Linked DNA regions of Caenorhabditis elegans. Each later gene encodes a partner of the first gene's protein in a complex. Each region holds a gene or a part of one and is shown in the gene's direction. Other genes may lie near its edges.

Region 1 (4,110 bases):
CTGGAAGGTCAAGAATATAGCCAAGAACAGCTTCGCCAATCAGTCGAATATTATCAATAAGCTCATCTTCGTCGAGAGCCGATGGGAGATCAAGAATTGAATTACGAGCTGGATCAGATGGAGATGGAAGAGTAGACAGGGTGATAGCTGGCATTCTCTTGATGTTAAATTTCTCGTGTTCCCAAGCGCTTACTGTCGTCAAAGAGATTTTTTTCGTTACCAACTCTATATTCTTCTTTGGAGAAATGCTGCTGAAATATCTTACGAACGATTAAAATCAATAAACTTTTAAAACAGTACTTAAGTCTTCTGAGAAGTTGAGCTGCTACTGAATTTTCTGATGGTGTCTTTCCAGCATGCATGAAAAATCCTCCCGTTTTGCGACCAATTGCCTCAATACATATTGCCAAGTCAACACGATCATCTGAAAACCCTTCAAAACCGGTAAAACGACACTCTCCTTTTACTGCATTACCTTTTCTAGAAAGTCCAGATTTGGCATAATCAGCGCTGTCAAAGCCTTTCTGGTACTCATCGATCCAGTGACGAGTTCCTTGATAATTGAGCTTTCCAGCTGCTGTCCAAATGAACAAAATATTGTATGGAGGACGTGTGCTTGGAGAATCATAGAATTTTGACAGAACAGCAAGCAATTCGAGAAGTGCAACTATACCAGACCCATTGGAATCAGCGCCAGGCGAGACTCCTGGAACGGCCGATTGTGTGTCATAGTGTGCCACAAATGCAATCGTAGGTGCAGCACGATCTCCACTACTCAAGCGACCAACAATATTCAGTGGTTTGTATGAAGGTGGAAGTTCTGGACTTTGATCGGAAGAAGTGATACTGATTGTGTTTCCGGAAAGTGATTGAAGCAAATGTTGCAGGGCTGTGGGAGCTTTTTCCGAGCGAGTATTGACATCGTGAAGAATAGAAACGGCGTCATCATTGAAAGGAGCCACATAAACAGCCAAGTCGGTCTTTGCGCTCAACAACTTTGCTTCAAGATCGATGAATGCCTGAATAATGAGCATAAATAACTTTTATGGCAATATGAAATTAAATGTTCAAGCTAACCTTCCGATCAATATCGTTAAGTTCATCAAGATTGTCGGGAATGAAAATAAGCACGGCACCGGTAGAAAGTGCCCACATGTCATCGACATCTGTTGTAAGAAGATCTCGCCATGTTGTAACCATAGTTCTAGATATTAAAATATTACTATTTACAAATGAAATATCCAAAAAAACCTGCGAAGAGTTCTTGCACCCAAGGAAACAGCTTCATATGATACGCGATAATTTTTGCATCCATAAATGTTACCACTGATTTCGTATTGATGAAGACGGTACGCATGAAACTCGGTTTCTACGACTTCTCCAACTTGCTGGGACCCGTTCACCTAAATATGGAGAGTTCATCTTCTAAATCATTACCAACAACTTACTACACAAATGGTTAACATTAAAGTCATGTAGAAAAGAAGAGCCGGACTTCGGAAAAAATCGATGATTTCATCCTGCATCTGAAAAAAACATATCTTAAGCTCAAAATCACGAGAATCCTGTGCAAATTAGGATGAAAGATCTTTCGGAGTAGGAATTATTTAATAACACAAACTATCATGATTCTACAGAAATCGATAGAATTAAACCAGAATTGATGATATATAATACCCGAGTAGGGAGAAAACTGCATGAGTTTTCTGAGCGGAATTCAAATGAGCCAAACATGCTCTACCGTACCTTGCAACAGCGGTGAAGGCAAATCGTTGCGAGACCCCTCCCCGCGAAAACCGCGACGCGCACACACTTTGAAAGTGGGTTTTATCGGTCTTCTACAGTTTTGGTCACTTTCCCGCATTAAAATTCTCTGTTTTAATATATTTAAATTCAATTGAATTAATATTTTATTATTCACCCCTTCTTTGTTGTATTATTTTATCTAACTACACTGTTTGAACGATAATTATTCTTTGCAAAAATTGAAAATTTCAGGAAATGGCCACTCTTGAAGATGGAACCTCCGAAGATCGCGTCGCAAATGATGAATACAAAATTTGGAAAAAGAACACCCCGTTCTTGTACGATCTCGTAATGACACATGCGCTTGAGTGGCCTTCACTCAGTGTTCAATGGCTCCCAGACGTTGCGAAGGTATGTGTTCTCATATAATTCACAACTTTCATGAAGTGAATTCAAATAATTTAGGATAACAGCGACCATACTATTCATCGGCTCATTCTTGGAACTCATACTTCAGATGAGCAGAATCACTTGCTTATTTCTAAGATCTGTATGCCAACGGATGATGCCCAATTTGATGCATCTCGCTACGATACCGAGCGCAGTGAATACGGTGGTTTCGGAGCTGTTAACGGAAAAGTGGAACCCGATATTCGCATTAACCACGAAGGGGAGGTTAACAGAGCTCGTTACATGCCTCAAAAGTCGAATATCATTGCTACAAAGTCTCCACATGCTGATGTTTACATTTTCGACTATTTAAAGCACTCTGCTGTTCCTCGTGATAACACGTTCAATCCGCTTATCAGACTGAAAGGACACACGAAGGAAGGCTATGGATTATCATGGAATCCAAACAAAGAAGGTTTGATTCTATCAGCGTCAGATGATCAGACAGTTTGTCATTGGGATATCAACGCAAATCAGAATGTTGCCGGGGAATTGCAAGCGAAGGATGTTTTCAAAGGTCACGAGTCAGTCGTTGAAGATGTTGCTTGGCACGTTTTGCATGATGGTGTCTTCGGATCGGTTGGTGACGATAAGAAATTGTAAGCTTTTGTTTTTTTTCTATTTATTAACTAATTAAAAATTATAGGCTCATTTGGGATGTGCGCACAAGCACTCCTGGACACTGTATCGATGCTCATTCTGCCGAAGTTAACTGTCTCGCATTCAATCCATATTCCGAATTCATTCTGGCCACCGGATCAGCTGATAAAACTGTCGCTCTTTGGGATCTACGTAATCTACGAATGAAACTTCACTCATTTGAATCACATCGTGATGAAATCTTCCAAGTTCAGTGGAGTCCACACAACGAGACTATTCTTGCATCCAGCGGTACTGATAAACGTCTTCATGTGTGGGACCTATCTAAGATTGGAGAAGACCAATCTGCCGAAGACGCGGAAGATGGTCCACCAGAGCTGTTGTTTATTCACGGTGGGCACACCGCCAAGATCAGCGATTTCTCGTGGAACCCGAACGAGCCTTGGGTTGTGTGCAGTGTGTCAGAAGACAATATTCTCCAAGTGTGGCAAATGGCTGATAACATATACAACGAAGTTGACGAAGAAACTCCAGCCGATGTGGTAGAGAGACAACAGTAAAATACGTGAAACGCGCTTAAATTATTTGTATTTAACTTCTATCCTTCTTTAATTTTGCATCTCAACAAATTGTTCATCTTACCATTTATTCAAACGCATATTCTTCACCAACTAAGTTTTTAAAGTTAAAATGTTACCTTGAGATATGATCATATTTTGTTGAACCTGAAATAAATTCGATGACCATTGTCAGATAACTGTTTTGAAATATTATGTTAACGTGATTGTTGTGATAGCTCAGATTGTGATATTTTTGGTTTTTTGTTGTATCTTTTGTTATTTCAGGCAATTTCAGAGCACAATGAGTGAAGCTGAATCGTGTGAAGAAACGAGTAAAGAACATAGAATTTGGAAGAAAAATGTTCCATATCTCTACGATACAGTCGTCACAAAAGAGGTCGAGTGGCCTTCTTTATCAGTGCAATGGATGCCTGATGTCACAAAAGTAAGAATCGGTAAATATGATTTCGCCTTCTTCATTATTTTTTTAAGACAGAGAACTCGGATTCATCGATGCATCGAATGATTCATGGAACACATACTTGTGGAGGAGTTCAGAATCATCTCATGATCTCAAAGTTCACAATAACGACAGACACACCAGAATTCGACGACGCTAAATGGGATTCGGAACGTGAAGAGTTCGGAGGTTATGGAGAGGGCAGCGCTGCAAAATGGGATACTGAGATTAAAATCAACCATCCAGGAGAAGTTCATAGGGCACGTTACATGCCACATAATCCTTTCATTATTG
Region 2 (2,793 bases), on another chromosome or scaffold:
TTTTTTCTTTTTGTTCTGTGCCTTCGATGACACCGCACCAATATATCTAGCAGAAACAAGTCAGCCCTCAAAATGTGCTGCTCTGCGTCTCTTTTCATTTTTACTTTTTTCGATGGTCTCCGCTCGTCTATCCATCACGTGTCTCTGGCGCCAACGCAAATGTATAAATACGAGTATTTGAATGAAACTGTCCGTCTGCTGTTGATTCGCTAAAAATATTCAGGCAGATTTCTATTCTTGAAAAAAAGCCTGAAAACGTTACTTTATTTCTCACTTTTGTAGAGCTTTTCTACAAAAACGCACTCTCATTTAGAGTTGTTTTTCATTCTCCATTGATTTTTCTCATTTTCGACCTTTTTAACATTTATTATGGCTGATAAACGCAATATAAGTCAGAATATTAAAAAAAAAAAACGAGAAAAATCAATAAAGAAATCTCTACGCCACACAAATTCCACACAAATGCGCCCTCCTTTAAACTCGTTGAAAATTTTTAACGAATTTTTCTGGTATTTCTCAATTGAAGCTTTGTTTAAATACTTTTCAGCCTTATTCCTAATCGAAAATTTCAAATTATCGATTTTAAACATTTACACTTGTAAATAGATTTGATCTTCGTCAACACTACGCGCGCCAAAATTTAGATTTGTCACTATCGTCCTTCAAATAAACACACTCCAATCGTTTCAAATGCTATTCAATCGGTTCTTTCACAGTTTTGTTTTCTTGGCACTCTCCTCCCTTTTCTGCCTACTTCTTTCTAATCATGCAACTGCCAATCATCGTCCATTTCACTTTGATAACACTTGTTTTGGTCATTCTTGTGTCGGTTCATTCTCTCATTTTTGTGTTGCTTACACGTCTCTAAGCTTTATAATAATTTTTTGTTGCAGAAAATTACCAACGAGATGTCGTCGACTGCTGAAGAAATGGCTGCCGCATTCGAGCAAACCGGAGGACCGGTCAGTGCAATGCATATATTGTATTTAAACTGAATAATTTCAATTTTAGGATCTCACCACTGGAAGCGGAAAGCGCACCAAGTCTGACAGAGTGGAGCACAAGCACGCATCTCAGCCAGGAGGGGACACTCGCAAGGTTGTTCAAACCGCCAGCAACGGAGAGGCAAAGAGAAAAGAGAAGTGGTGCGTTAATATGCTACCGTGTTTGCGGACCATGTTCCTATTTTTGATTTTTCAGAATCATTCTTCATGTGACTGCCCGACACTATTTCTCTATTCCACCACCGACTGCCCACTGATTCATGTTTTTTACCTTGTTTCTCGTTTCTTCATTATTTTTAACCGTATTGTGTAAATTTAAAATTTGTAAAGTACCCACCGGCTAGGCTGTCTAGCAATCGATTTTTTTTTGTATTTTATTGTAAATTCCCGAGTAATTTTCTTCACATCCCGTTTTTGTTCACATCAAATAAATATTTGTTTTGTGAGAATTATTTTTTAGAAGAAGAAATCAATACAATTACTTCATTGCGGCCTAACGTTTAATTCGTCACAAGCTCTATACTTACTCAATTCTAAACATTTAAATTCTGACATATAGCGGTAATTTCAGGAAAAAAATGTCGCGTCCGCTAGGATTTATTGGATACGAATTTGGAGATGACGAAATGTTCGTCCAACAAATGATCGAAAAGAAATCAAACGCAGAACAGGCGAAAATGCTTGGTTGGTATTATATTGTAGAAAAGAAAGATTCTTCGAATTTTAAATATTTTCAGAACAACAGAAAAAGATGCTCGAATGCACCGAAACAATGCCAGAAGAAAGTGAGCCAGTTCCAATGAAATGTCTCGATTTTGAAGAAGCATTTCAAAGCGAATCAGTATCAAAAGGTTACGAATCGCCATACAAGAATATTTCGTTTCTCAAGGAAGATGCTGTGACTGTTAATAGTTCGTATTCATATTGTTCCATATTCATTTCAATTTTTAACTTTCAGCAATGAGCCACTGCCCAGCCGACGATATCGCCAAGCTCATCCGAAACATTCAAAACTCGGTGTACACTCTTGGAATCGAAGAAGCTCGCCAGTGCCGACGTGGAAAGTTGCTCAACGTGCTGAAACCCACTGGCTCGGCTTCTCCGAGATATTTGCAGCCAACACCACCGAAAAATGTAGCGGAAGAAACGACAGGAAGCCAGTGAATTGAATAGTGGTCTATCAAAAAATAATGATCTCATCATTCATTAACATTCACATGAATAAACTTGATTACTAACAGAGCACAATTAGAAAGTTGGCAAATCACATAATCTCACAGTGAGAGTTTAAAAAACGAGGCTGGCAAAGTTTAAGGCAATTTTTGAAATTTATAAATATAAACGTTTCTACAAATTGTTGGCAATCCATTCGAGAGCTTCCGGCAATCCTTCTCCTTTCACAGCACAACATCCATTTATCTGCCATTTCCGAGCACCTCGTAATGTCTGGAGACCGAGTTGTGTGGATACTTCTGCTGGATTCATTGCTCCGGGCAGATCCTGTTTGTTGGCCAAAACCAGAATATGAGCACGAGCAAGATCTTCATGTTGAAGCATATTGTGCAGTTGTTCTTTCATAATTGGAATCCTAGTGGTGTCGGAACTGTCAATAACTGAAAATAATTTTAATTTTAATATCATTTACTAAAAGTTATTCATACCAACTATAACAACATCTGTTTGAACATAATAAGTACTCCAAGACTTTCGTAGACTCTCCTGCCCGCCAATATCCCAGATCACAAAATCTAAATTTCGATACGAAACTTCTTCGACGTTGCTTCCAATT
Region 3 (4,926 bases), on another chromosome or scaffold:
CATAAAAGTATGGTAGAAGCCAATAAACTACTGGAATAACTACGTAGAATTGTCCTGCATGAGTGTGTCCAGATAAGACAATATCAATTTCTGATAATTCTTTCGGATGATCTACGATGAATTCTCGAATTGATGCCGGATTGTGTGCCATGACGATTTGAGAAGTATTTGATGGACATCGATGGATGGCTTTTGGTAGATCCATTTTAGTGTTCAAGATTCCAGATTTCGGACTTGAAATATCGTTTACTCCAGCCAAACAGACTCCTTTCAGCATTGTACTTCTGAAAAATATCACTGTTACTTCCAAGAAAAACTCAAAAACTTTGTAAAACTTACTCGTTTTCAAGAACATTAATACGGCCATTTTTGTAGAATCTTATCCATTCCTGAACGTCTCCATAATAATATTCATGATTGCCAGTTACGAAATAAGTAGGTGCGTGAGCAGGGAGTTGACTGAAAACAAAAATTGAAATTTTGTGAATCAAACTAATTCGCCTACAGAATTGGTCGAACTCTATCCTCGATTTCCGCAACAGGAGCATCTACCATATCTCCAACAATCAGAATAGCATCAACTGGATTTTCAAGCACTTTTTCGACAACTTGATTGATTTGTTCCGAATAAACACTTGCACCAGCGTGCAAATCAGAGATCACTGCCAATTTTAATCGATTTCCATCAGCAGTGAAGTTTTTTATTTTGATGGTCTTTTCTTTGACAACAATCCAATCGCGTGATATAAACATACTGACTGACAGAAGCAAGGTGATTATCATTGTGAATCTGAAAATAACATTTTTAATGATAAGTTCCGAAATGAGATGTTTTTTGTTACTTTATTTGAGATCTTCTTTTCCACATGAGATCGTTAAAATAAGGAACCTTTCCTATTATTTCCAAAATCGAAGCGGTGTAATGGAACATCTGAGAAAATTTTTTTAAAATAATTTAAATATTATTGAAATTAATATTACCTTCATTTTTCCAGCATAGAAATTAACAATCCCAAATCCACATACGAATGCAATCATGTTAGTCCATATTCCCGCGCAGATTGAGGTGAGATCGAAGAGAAGCCACTGAAATGCAAGAGACTCTTTTAACAGCAACACAATTTCTAAAAACAAACCTGGAGAAATGCTGGGGCATAATACATAAAATAAATCGCTTGTCCGAGAACTAGGAAAATAATAAGGCCATCCGAGCATCGTTTCCGGATTGTCTGAAATGAGAATAGGTCAGTTTTTGGTGAGAAGAAGATTTAATCGATTTGAAGAGAAAAATAGTTATGGTCTTTGAAATCGTAGCAGGAAAACAAAATAAATTTTTATTTAAAAGCAAATTCTTGTTTTGCTAACTTTTTCCAACAAGAATATTGCAATTTGTTGAAATTTCAGTGTCGAACGAAAAAAAAAGAAAATTTTGTTCAGCAACAACACTCCGCCTTGACACCTCTCGCGTTGTTTATCGTCATTGATGGGTCTCGCAACGCACGGCGCGTCTTCAAATTTGGGTTTTTTCTGTTTTCCTCCATCTTCCGAATATTATTGATTTCTCTCACGTATTGATCAAAAATTGTTCTGGTTAACGTTTGTATTGCAGCGTTCTTAAAAACCGATAAAATTTAGATTTAGAACAGAAAAGAATCAGTTTTTTACGATGGCAACAAAATATCATTCATTATTCTTATAATTAACACTTTTCGTAGCTTTTCTCGTAATCAAAGTCATCATTTACAGATCTAAGCAATCGAAAATCTTGATTCGTCCAGGCAGGTCCTGTAGAAATGAACCCGGTTTGTAAAATAAGAAATCGATATTATATTAAACTAACATTTGCAGACAAACTACGATCCCCGTATCGGCCAACCGGCACAAAGTCGACCACAAGTATCCCTGAGTATGGGAAGACGAATTGTTCAAATGCCTACAGGTCTTCCTCGTTCATACCAAGATGAGAGTCACAATGAACCTGTGGGCTGGGATGAACCTTCGGGAGTTGGAGGATCTAGTGGAGCAGGAGGTCAACAATCTGACAAACCAACCGGACTCAGACATTTTTCCACGAAAGTTTGTGAAAAGGTGAAAGAAAAAGGATTGACGAATTACAATGAAGTGGCTGATGAACTGGTAGCAGATTACTTTCAAAATAATCTTATCAAGCAGATTGATGTTGTGGTAAGAAGTTTGTTTTTCTTCTTTTGAAAAAAAACTTTTTTTTTCTAGAAACAAGAATACGATATGAAAAATATTCGGAGGAGAGTATACGATGCGTTGAACGTTCTTTTGGCAATGAATATCATCACAAAAAGCAAGAAAGATATCAGATGGATTGGACTTCCTGCTTCAGCTTCACAAGAAATTTCGAGATTGGAAGAAGAGAAATCGCGACGGGAAGCCAGCATAAGTTCCAAAAAGCAGGCTCTCGAAGAAATGGTATTGCAAATTGTTTCTTACAAAAATTTGGTCGAACGGAATAGAAAAAATGAGCAGTACGTTTGAGTGTTAAATATTTTAGAAAAGTTAAATTTTCAGCAAAAATGGTCGCCCAGAAAACGACACTGTACTTCATCTTCCGTTTTTAATAATTAATACTGATAAAGAGTAAGTTGAAATTCCAAAATTATAATAGTCTCAAATATCTATTTTTAAGAGCAAATGTGGAATGCAGTGTATCATCAGACAAATCCGAATTTCTGTTCTCGTTCGACAAGAAGTTTGAAATTCACGATGATTTCGAAATTTTAAAAAGTAAATTTAAATGCCAAAAACCGATAAGATCCACATTTTTCAGAGTTGAACCTTGCATGCAGTTTGGAGACTACAAATCCCACAGCGGAAGAAGTCAAAACTGCGAAAAGCTTTTTGCCAACCTTACACCAGCACTATGTCGACGAAATCATTGCCAGTAAGTATTTCTTTTTAAAAATCAATCATGGAAACCACAATTTTCAGACCGTAAAAAGGTTGAAGCAGAAAAAGAGGAAAAGAGAAAACAACAACAGTTGATTGCTGATCAAATGTCTATGAACCTCTCACAAGCCCAATACGTTGAGCCGACAAGCTCTTTGGCGCAAATGTCATATTCATCGCGATTCAACAGACAGCTTCAGGAGCATTTGATAAACGATGGAAGTGAGGACAGAAGTGGTAAAAAAGTTTTTTAAAAACATTAAAAAAATTGTTTTTTCTAGCTGCTGCCGGTATAATGGAACGCGATTATGATATGGATAAGAATGTTAATCAGGGATCAGCCAGCCGAGGGCCAATGTATAATACTTATAGTCCACAAAAGATTCGAGCTCAAGTTAACACGCCTCTTCAAGTACCACCCGTTACCAAACGATATTACGTACAGAAGACACAAGGACCAATGAAGGTTTGTTCAAAATGAAGATTTTTCAGTACAACTAAAACATTTTCAGCATGATATGACTCCCGTCGTTCGAACTGTCAATCGGCCGTACTCTACTGTACCTCCAGATCGCAGGCTCTCAACTGGAGCTACTTCTGTGAATTCAGGACCTGTAAAATACTACGTGCCACAAGGACATCAACCGATGCATCAGCCAGTTGGTCAGAGATATGTAAGTTCGTTTTAAAGATTTCACAAACTGATTTTTCTTATTTTTCAGAGAGTTCGTCCACAGCAACCACAAATGAGTCATATGGGTCAGCCACATCAAGTGCAACAGAGAGTTGTCTATCCTGCTGGAAGCATTTCTGGACATCAGTTACAACCTGGACAACGAATCGTAACTCAGCGAATTGTTGCTCCAGGTGGTCCACACCCGCCGGGCACAATTGTTCGGAAAGTGATTCGTAAAATTGTTGTCAACAATCCAAAGCAATCTCCAGCTCAACAAGTTATACAAAAGAAAATGATGGAGCAAGGTAATTTAAATTTGCCTTAAATAATTTAAATAATTTAATTTCAGATATGTGCACATTTGAACGCAAAACGGAACAGCCGATGACTTCTGCGCAGGCCGCTGCTCTCATTCAACACCCTCAACCGGAGGAATACGATTATTTCCAGTAAATGTTTAATGTAACTAGTTGTTATCCCCCTTTTCCCAGTTTTTAAAGGTTCTCAAACGATTCTCATCTGCTTTTAAAATAGTTTCTATACGAGTTTCAATTTTATTTCTAGACTCCTTTAAAATCCCCTCTTCTTTAATCTTTAAAATAGTATAGTCTTCTTCGTCGATTCTATTCCGACATTTGCCAGATTAGAATTGACGACAGATTTCATAATCTACCTTTTACATTATTATTTTGTGTTCAATTTGACATTTTGAAATATGCTTCTTATATGCCCCGACTTTGACAGCATTATATGTAACTCAATGCTCCCGATTTTACCATCATTTTTTATGAAAGAATGATAGATTATAATTTTTAGTTTTACCTGCATTTTTCGGCGATCCAACGATTTCTCCTTGACAATGTCATCGTCGAACCATCTCATCAGCTGGCCGTATGCAAACACATTTAACAGAGTTAAAATGCACTTTAATTGGATTAAATTAATTAGATTTTTTAATTAGAAGAAGCAACTCACTTCAATGCGGAACACGGCAATGACTCGACGGCGGTTACCAACTAAATATCCTTCCACTGATTCAATCTGGAATATGATATCTTATAGAAAAAACTGGGCTTATGTAAATCAACTCACCCAAAATCTTGAGCAATACGTGAGCAGAATCCAGGAGATAACCGAGCCAAAAACGAGAAATCGCTCGAAACTCATCTGAAATTGAAACTGCGAAGACATACTCACTCGAGATCTTTTTTCTGATCGCTTTTCCTGTTTAGCATAGAATTGTCAATGTTCTCTCTCAGTTTATCGCCCAAACTCATCTCCTTACATCCGATTTCTATCGGGAGAAGGAGAAAATTTAGAGAATGACCATT
Region 4 (4,826 bases), 3.8 Mb from region 1:
CATTAATTAATGCTTTTCGAACTTCATTCAAACCATTTTTGAGTTCTTCTTTTATTCTTGTCAATGATAAATCAATCTCGTGTTTTGATACTGCATTGATTAGTTCGATAGTTAATGGAAGAAAGTCAAGTCCAGGAATCACATAGCGGCAGGTTGAGATTTTTCGAAAATATCTATCAAGAGCCCGGACGACAATTGAACAGTCTTTTGCATCACTTGATGATAGAAAAACTTTTGAAACCAAAGCATGCAGAGAATTCATTTCCGTCTGTAAAAAAACTTTAATTTAATCCAAATCGTTTTTAAATTAACAAACCTTCAAAACCGTAATAAGATCTTCTCGTTTATCCTCAAATAATCGATCATGAGTTGTTGCAATCAGAGTGAGATTTGGAATAAAACTCTCAGAAGCTTTATCAACGAGATCCAAAACATCCGAATGATTTGCTGATAATTCTTTCAAATCTACTCTTAAAGATTGTTCTGAACACGTGAGCAACACTTTCTGAACTTCATCTTCATCTCTTCCAATTGTTAATAATAAATCTACAGCTTCTGATACTAATTCTGCACCAGAAGCCGGATTTCGCAGTTGATCCATTAATTGATTTTCCGTCATATCATAAATTTTCTTACTTTTTTGAAGAACTAATTGAACTGTTGGAACGTCTTTATACTGCGATAGTGACTCTTCTGCTAATTTGAACATTCGAAGAACTTCTCCATAGTTTCGCTCATCGAATTCACTCTGGAAGTTGTTTAGTTTGATGCAATATGAAAAAAAAGTTTTAAAATTAAAAATGTTACCCGCAGAACATGAGGAAGATCGAAAATATGCTTCAAACTATTCACAACTTTATACGAGCTTCCCAATTGTAGAATATCGTCACGTTTTTCGCCCAAAACTCCGTCAAGATTCCCAATTAGAGTCGATATTGTCGACATACTTCGGCTGAGAGATTTCATTTCCTGAAAATTAACATTAAAATTGTCTGATTTTATTATTATTCGAAAACTAACAGAATCGAGTTGCGTGAATTCATCTTGTATTTTTCGAACCGTATTTGTCGCAGTCAGAAATTTATTGTAATTTTCGTAGACTATTTGATGTACATCTGAATCAAGCCTTCTCACAGCTGAAACCATCTCCTCCTCTTCTTTTACTAATCCATCAAGCGACTTTTCACGGAGTAATCTGAATTAATAATATTTATCAGTGCATATCTCTGAAAACTAACTTGACGACAAATGCTTCGACATCAAAATCCGGCTTTGTGACGTCCAAAACACTAGACATTTTACATTCAATACTGAAAAATTAAAGAAAATTCAGGAAAACTCGAGAATGAAAAAAAACAGATTTGAGACACCATCAATACAAAGGGAACGAAATTTGGGGGAAATGCTGGTTGCCGAAAAAATAAGTAGAAGGTAAGATGTGTTCAACTGGAACATACATTTTCTGAATTGCAAACTCGATTTCTCTCACATTCACAATTTTTAATCACATTTAATGCTTCAGTTTTAGAAAGTTCTGAAGTATCCTCTTCTTCCTATTCAGTTTCTCAAAATCGATGGTGTCTCCAGGACGTGCACAAATGCGCTCTATTGCGAATTGTGGAACATCATTGCGCGCGCGACTAGAAAAAAATGAGCGCGTTCTTGAAAATTATTTTGCTTTCTCTAATTTTAAACGATTTCGATTACATTTTATCTGAACTTTCTTGGGTTTAATCGAATAAAAAACACAAAAATATTCTTCAGACTGGTAAAAACTTCTTCAATATGCCGAAACGAGCAGCCGATGAGCCTGGAACATCAACAACTGACCCATTTCACGAGCGTAAGCTTTAAATGATTTTATTCAAAGCGTATAATTATACTTGTCTGGAAAGTGAGGCGTTATCAAAGCTAGTTTCTCCGCCGCAGTGAATAGAAAAACTGATTAATGCAATTTGCGCAGGGTTCGATTTTTTCGAAATTTTTTAAACAGCGTTCAAGATTTTACTTGCCTTTCCATCAGGGAGAGAAATTTTTTAGAACTCAGCCTCAAATTACCGCAAATAAATTTAGATATTAATTGATTTATTTTCAGAAAGCCCATTCGATGCCGTGTTAGCCGGCACGGAGACAACGGATACAATATGTGAAGAGCCACCAGCAAAACGAATCGACTTAGATATAAAGCAAGGTATGGGGTTTTATAAATATTAAATCTGATTATTTTCTCCTTTTCAAAAATATTAAACAAAAACAAGGGTTTGCAGCCTCATGTGATAATCTAAATGACTGCTTTGTTTTACATATTAAGAGCATCCTTCGTTTTTCCAATAATTTTCTCTATGAAGATAGATATTCCCCAGTTCATTATCACCTTTATCACAACTCGCTATCATCTCCTACTTATATAGGAAATTATGAAGTTATCAAGCGCTCAGTCACCTGACTAGTTAAGAGGTCACTAACAACAATAGCTACCAATCAAGCAACATTTTTATTATTGCACACAACCACGAGCAAATGTCAAAATATACATAGAAGACAGAGTGAAATCTATTGAAGAACGTCACTTCGGACTGTTATATGTCCTGGTTCAACCACGTCACTATATGCAGGCGGCCGAGAAGTTGCACGTGGTCGGGTTGGATCTTCATCATTTGTAAACGCCGAATTGTCAGCTCCTGTTGGTTCACTCTGAAATTGTTACAGAGTTTTAGTGATGTCATAGGGAAAGAATTTTAGAGCTCATTCTGGCTCGAATTTGCTGGAAATCGGAGGTTTCCCAATAATAACCATTTTTCTGATATTAGTATTACTTTTTCGACTACAAGCGCTCCGTAACAAAATTTAGCGGGTTATTTGAAGTTAATTATAATCGCATTAAGACGTATTTATCTAATGCAGCTTATAATATAGAAAGAATAGCTTAGTTTTATATTATTGATTAATGAATAGTCGTTGAAACGGATTTCATAAAGCTTCAAAAAATTTTCAAAACTCACATTGGCAACTGTCAAAATCGGTGTCGATACGAAAGAACCACTCCTCGTTGATGCCGACGTCGTCGAACTCTCGCTATCAACAGGTTGTTGTTTTGTAGGAATCGGAGGAGCAGTTTGACTTGACATTGGTGGGGCGTAGGCGGTATATCTTGGTGGTGGTGGCATACCACTGGGACTCATTGGTGTTGGTACAATGTATTGAACATTGTAATTTGACGCCTGATGTTGAGGTCTGAACCATTGAATGAATATTCATAATTGAAATAATGGACTCACAATCTGTATGCATTTCTTCTGAGGAAGTTGTAGAGAATCATCATATATCGCATTTGGACGAGTGCAACAATAATACTAACAGTTAGGAAGAAACATGAGATTATAACCATTTCTAATTCTCCAGTTGTCATTTTTGGAACACATCCCTTCGCAGTGGTTACATCCTTTTGGTTATCTTCAAATCAGTTTCTTTATTCCGGAAAATTGTATTGAAACTAACCTGGATTGCAAATGTTATCATTGTTATCCGATAAATAAATACATGCAATAACTGCTCCCAGGATCAAGAAAAACACCCAAAATGTGTACATTGACTGAAATTGATAATTATTTCTCAAAGTGTATATTAACGAGAATATTGATGCTTCCATAATTGACTAGGAACATCGAATCTTGTGAGTTATATTTAAAACGTACTAGATATAACATGTAAGCAGTGATATAGGCAATTTTTCTACGCTTTGCACCAGTTGATAGAACAAACATCATGGCGCTTCCAATAGAAATCTCGAAAACGTAGAGCACAAATGGAGATGGATACAAAAGTCCGAATATTTGACATATCATGAGAATGGATCCGAGAATTCCAACAGCTCCCTGAAAAATGTTCAATCCTTGCTGAGATTCAAAATTTCTGAACTTACACCAATTGGAAGTCCACAAAATACCCTTGGCTCCGGTTCAGCAGCTATCCGCTGTGTTGGCTGATGTGGTTCAGCCCGTTGTTGCGGGTGCTGATACGGATCCGTCGTTTGAGAAGACTCGGTTGTCATGGTTCTTCTGGAATCAATACAATTTTCTTGGCTTATATGGTTTATAAATGCATTTGTGTGTGTCTGAGTGTGCCAACAAGAGACCTCTACGAGAGAAAAGAAAAGGAGAAGCAGAGTCGGGGAGGTGACATACGACTGATATGGTCGATGTCACGACAATATGATTCTCTTTTTCTCCCCCTTTCAATTCTTCATGTGTCGGTTGAGTAAATATTGCATGAAACTGTAGAAATGAGGGCATTGGGAGATAGAGAGAGGGACGTTGAAAATAGAGAAGAGCACTAGAATCAGCTGAGAGTATGTGGAGAAATAAAGAATGATAAGAACGTTGGAAGAAACTAGAACAATTTTGGCAGCTTAGTTTCGTCGTTACTTGATTTGTCACAATTAAATATGGATAAGTTGAGAATCAAGGATGCCAAAAAATATTTTTGACAAAAAAAAACAAAAAATTTCTTGTTCAAATTTCGTACCAAAAACAAAAAAAAATTGGATTTTATTTTTCTCGCGATTTAAAGTTAAAAATTTCGAAATTTTTTTTTGGTTTTTATGATATTTATACAATTGTATTTCTATAGAAATACCGAAAAAAAATTGGTGACTTATCGAATTTGTTTTAATTGGAAAAATATAATGGATTCAATTCGTTCTTTAAAAATTATTGGAAATTACTTTAAAATTGAAAAAATTGAAATTTTTTTCATTAATTTAAAAACTGACATCCTTGGGTCAATTCATTGCCATCTGGATAAATTTCCTTTAATATTGTAAATCA

What was found.
Region 2: lin-53 (region 1) and lin-52 share a complex: the UniProt entries of both Caenorhabditis elegans proteins name them as parts of the DRM complex.
Region 3: lin-53 (region 1) and dpl-1 share a complex: the UniProt entries of both Caenorhabditis elegans proteins name them as parts of the DRM complex.
Region 4: lin-53 (region 1) and lin-35 share a complex: the UniProt entries of both Caenorhabditis elegans proteins name them as parts of the DRM complex.

The regions. Positions count from the first base shown.
Region 1 is NC_003279.8:9,617,649-9,621,758, reverse strand, and holds lin-53 (putative histone-binding protein lin-53), read left to right. Parts: upstream 1-1,998; 5' UTR 1,999-2,001; coding exon 2,002-2,157; intron 2,158-2,211; coding exon 2,212-2,795; intron 2,796-2,842; coding exon 2,843-3,356; 3' UTR 3,357-3,548; downstream 3,549-4,110. Other genes in the region: nra-2 (Nicalin), read right to left, coding at 1-260, 301-433, 476-1,019, 1,078-1,204, 1,252-1,403, 1,449-1,526; putative histone-binding protein rba-1, read left to right, coding at 3,658-3,801, 3,849-4,110. UniProt on the Caenorhabditis elegans protein: Core histone-binding subunit that may target chromatin assembly factors, chromatin remodeling factors and histone deacetylases to their histone substrates in a manner that is regulated by nucleosomal DNA.
Region 2 is NC_003281.10:9,823,533-9,826,325, reverse strand, and holds lin-52 (Protein lin-52), read left to right. Parts: upstream 1-1,575; 5' UTR 1,576-1,582; coding exon 1,583-1,688; intron 1,689-1,741; coding exon 1,742-1,915; intron 1,916-1,962; coding exon 1,963-2,168; 3' UTR 2,169-2,243; downstream 2,244-2,793. Other genes in the region: ZK632.9 (uncharacterized protein), read left to right, coding at 909-962, 1,012-1,145, 1,201-1,201; arl-5 (ADP-ribosylation factor-like protein 5), read right to left, coding at 2,352-2,617, 2,666-2,793. UniProt on the Caenorhabditis elegans protein: Synthetic multivulva class B (synMuvB) protein. SynMuvB proteins are required to repress the induction of vulval development by Ras signaling and probably act by forming the multiprotein DRM complex that represses transcription.
Region 3 is NC_003280.10:9,168,164-9,173,089, forward strand, and holds dpl-1 (Transcription factor dpl-1), read left to right. Parts: upstream 1-1,746; 5' UTR 1,747-1,793; coding exon 1,794-1,802; intron 1,803-1,848; coding exon 1,849-2,184; intron 2,185-2,232; coding exon 2,233-2,498; intron 2,499-2,541; coding exon 2,542-2,610; intron 2,611-2,659; coding exon 2,660-2,757; intron 2,758-2,800; coding exon 2,801-2,914; intron 2,915-2,961; coding exon 2,962-3,156; intron 3,157-3,200; coding exon 3,201-3,385; intron 3,386-3,431; coding exon 3,432-3,593; intron 3,594-3,641; coding exon 3,642-3,900; intron 3,901-3,944; coding exon 3,945-4,048; 3' UTR 4,049-4,402; downstream 4,403-4,926. Other genes in the region: T23G7.2 (Calcineurin-like phosphoesterase domain-containing protein), read right to left, coding at 1-284, 340-459, 506-790, 843-931, 982-1,086, 1,137-1,229, 4,418-4,519, 4,571-4,636 and 1 more. UniProt on the Caenorhabditis elegans protein: Synthetic multivulva class B (synMuvB) protein. SynMuvB proteins are required to repress the induction of vulval development by Ras signaling and probably act by forming the multiprotein DRM complex that represses transcription.
Region 4 is NC_003279.8:5,805,945-5,810,770, forward strand, and holds the start of lin-35 (Retinoblastoma-like protein homolog lin-35), read left to right. Parts: upstream 1-1,764; 5' UTR 1,765-1,785; coding exon 1,786-1,843; intron 1,844-2,095; coding exon 2,096-2,191; intron 2,192-2,476; exon of another isoform or gene 2,477-2,553; coding exon of another isoform or gene 2,554-2,694; intron 2,695-3,002; coding exon of another isoform or gene 3,003-3,234; intron 3,235-3,278; coding exon of another isoform or gene 3,279-3,453; intron 3,454-3,498; coding exon of another isoform or gene 3,499-3,592; intron 3,593-3,695; coding exon of another isoform or gene 3,696-3,875; intron 3,876-3,922; coding exon of another isoform or gene 3,923-4,051; exon of another isoform or gene 4,052-4,058; intron 4,059-4,826. Other genes in the region: vps-51 (Vacuolar protein sorting-associated protein 51 homolog), read right to left, coding at 1-268, 317-748, 808-969, 1,021-1,195, 1,239-1,297; C32F10.4 (uncharacterized protein), read right to left, coding at 2,554-2,694, 3,003-3,234, 3,279-3,453, 3,499-3,592, 3,696-3,875, 3,923-4,051. UniProt on the Caenorhabditis elegans protein: Key regulator of cell division which acts as a transcriptional repressor and negatively regulates cell cycle progression in its active unphosphorylated form, but allows cell cycle progression when phosphorylated.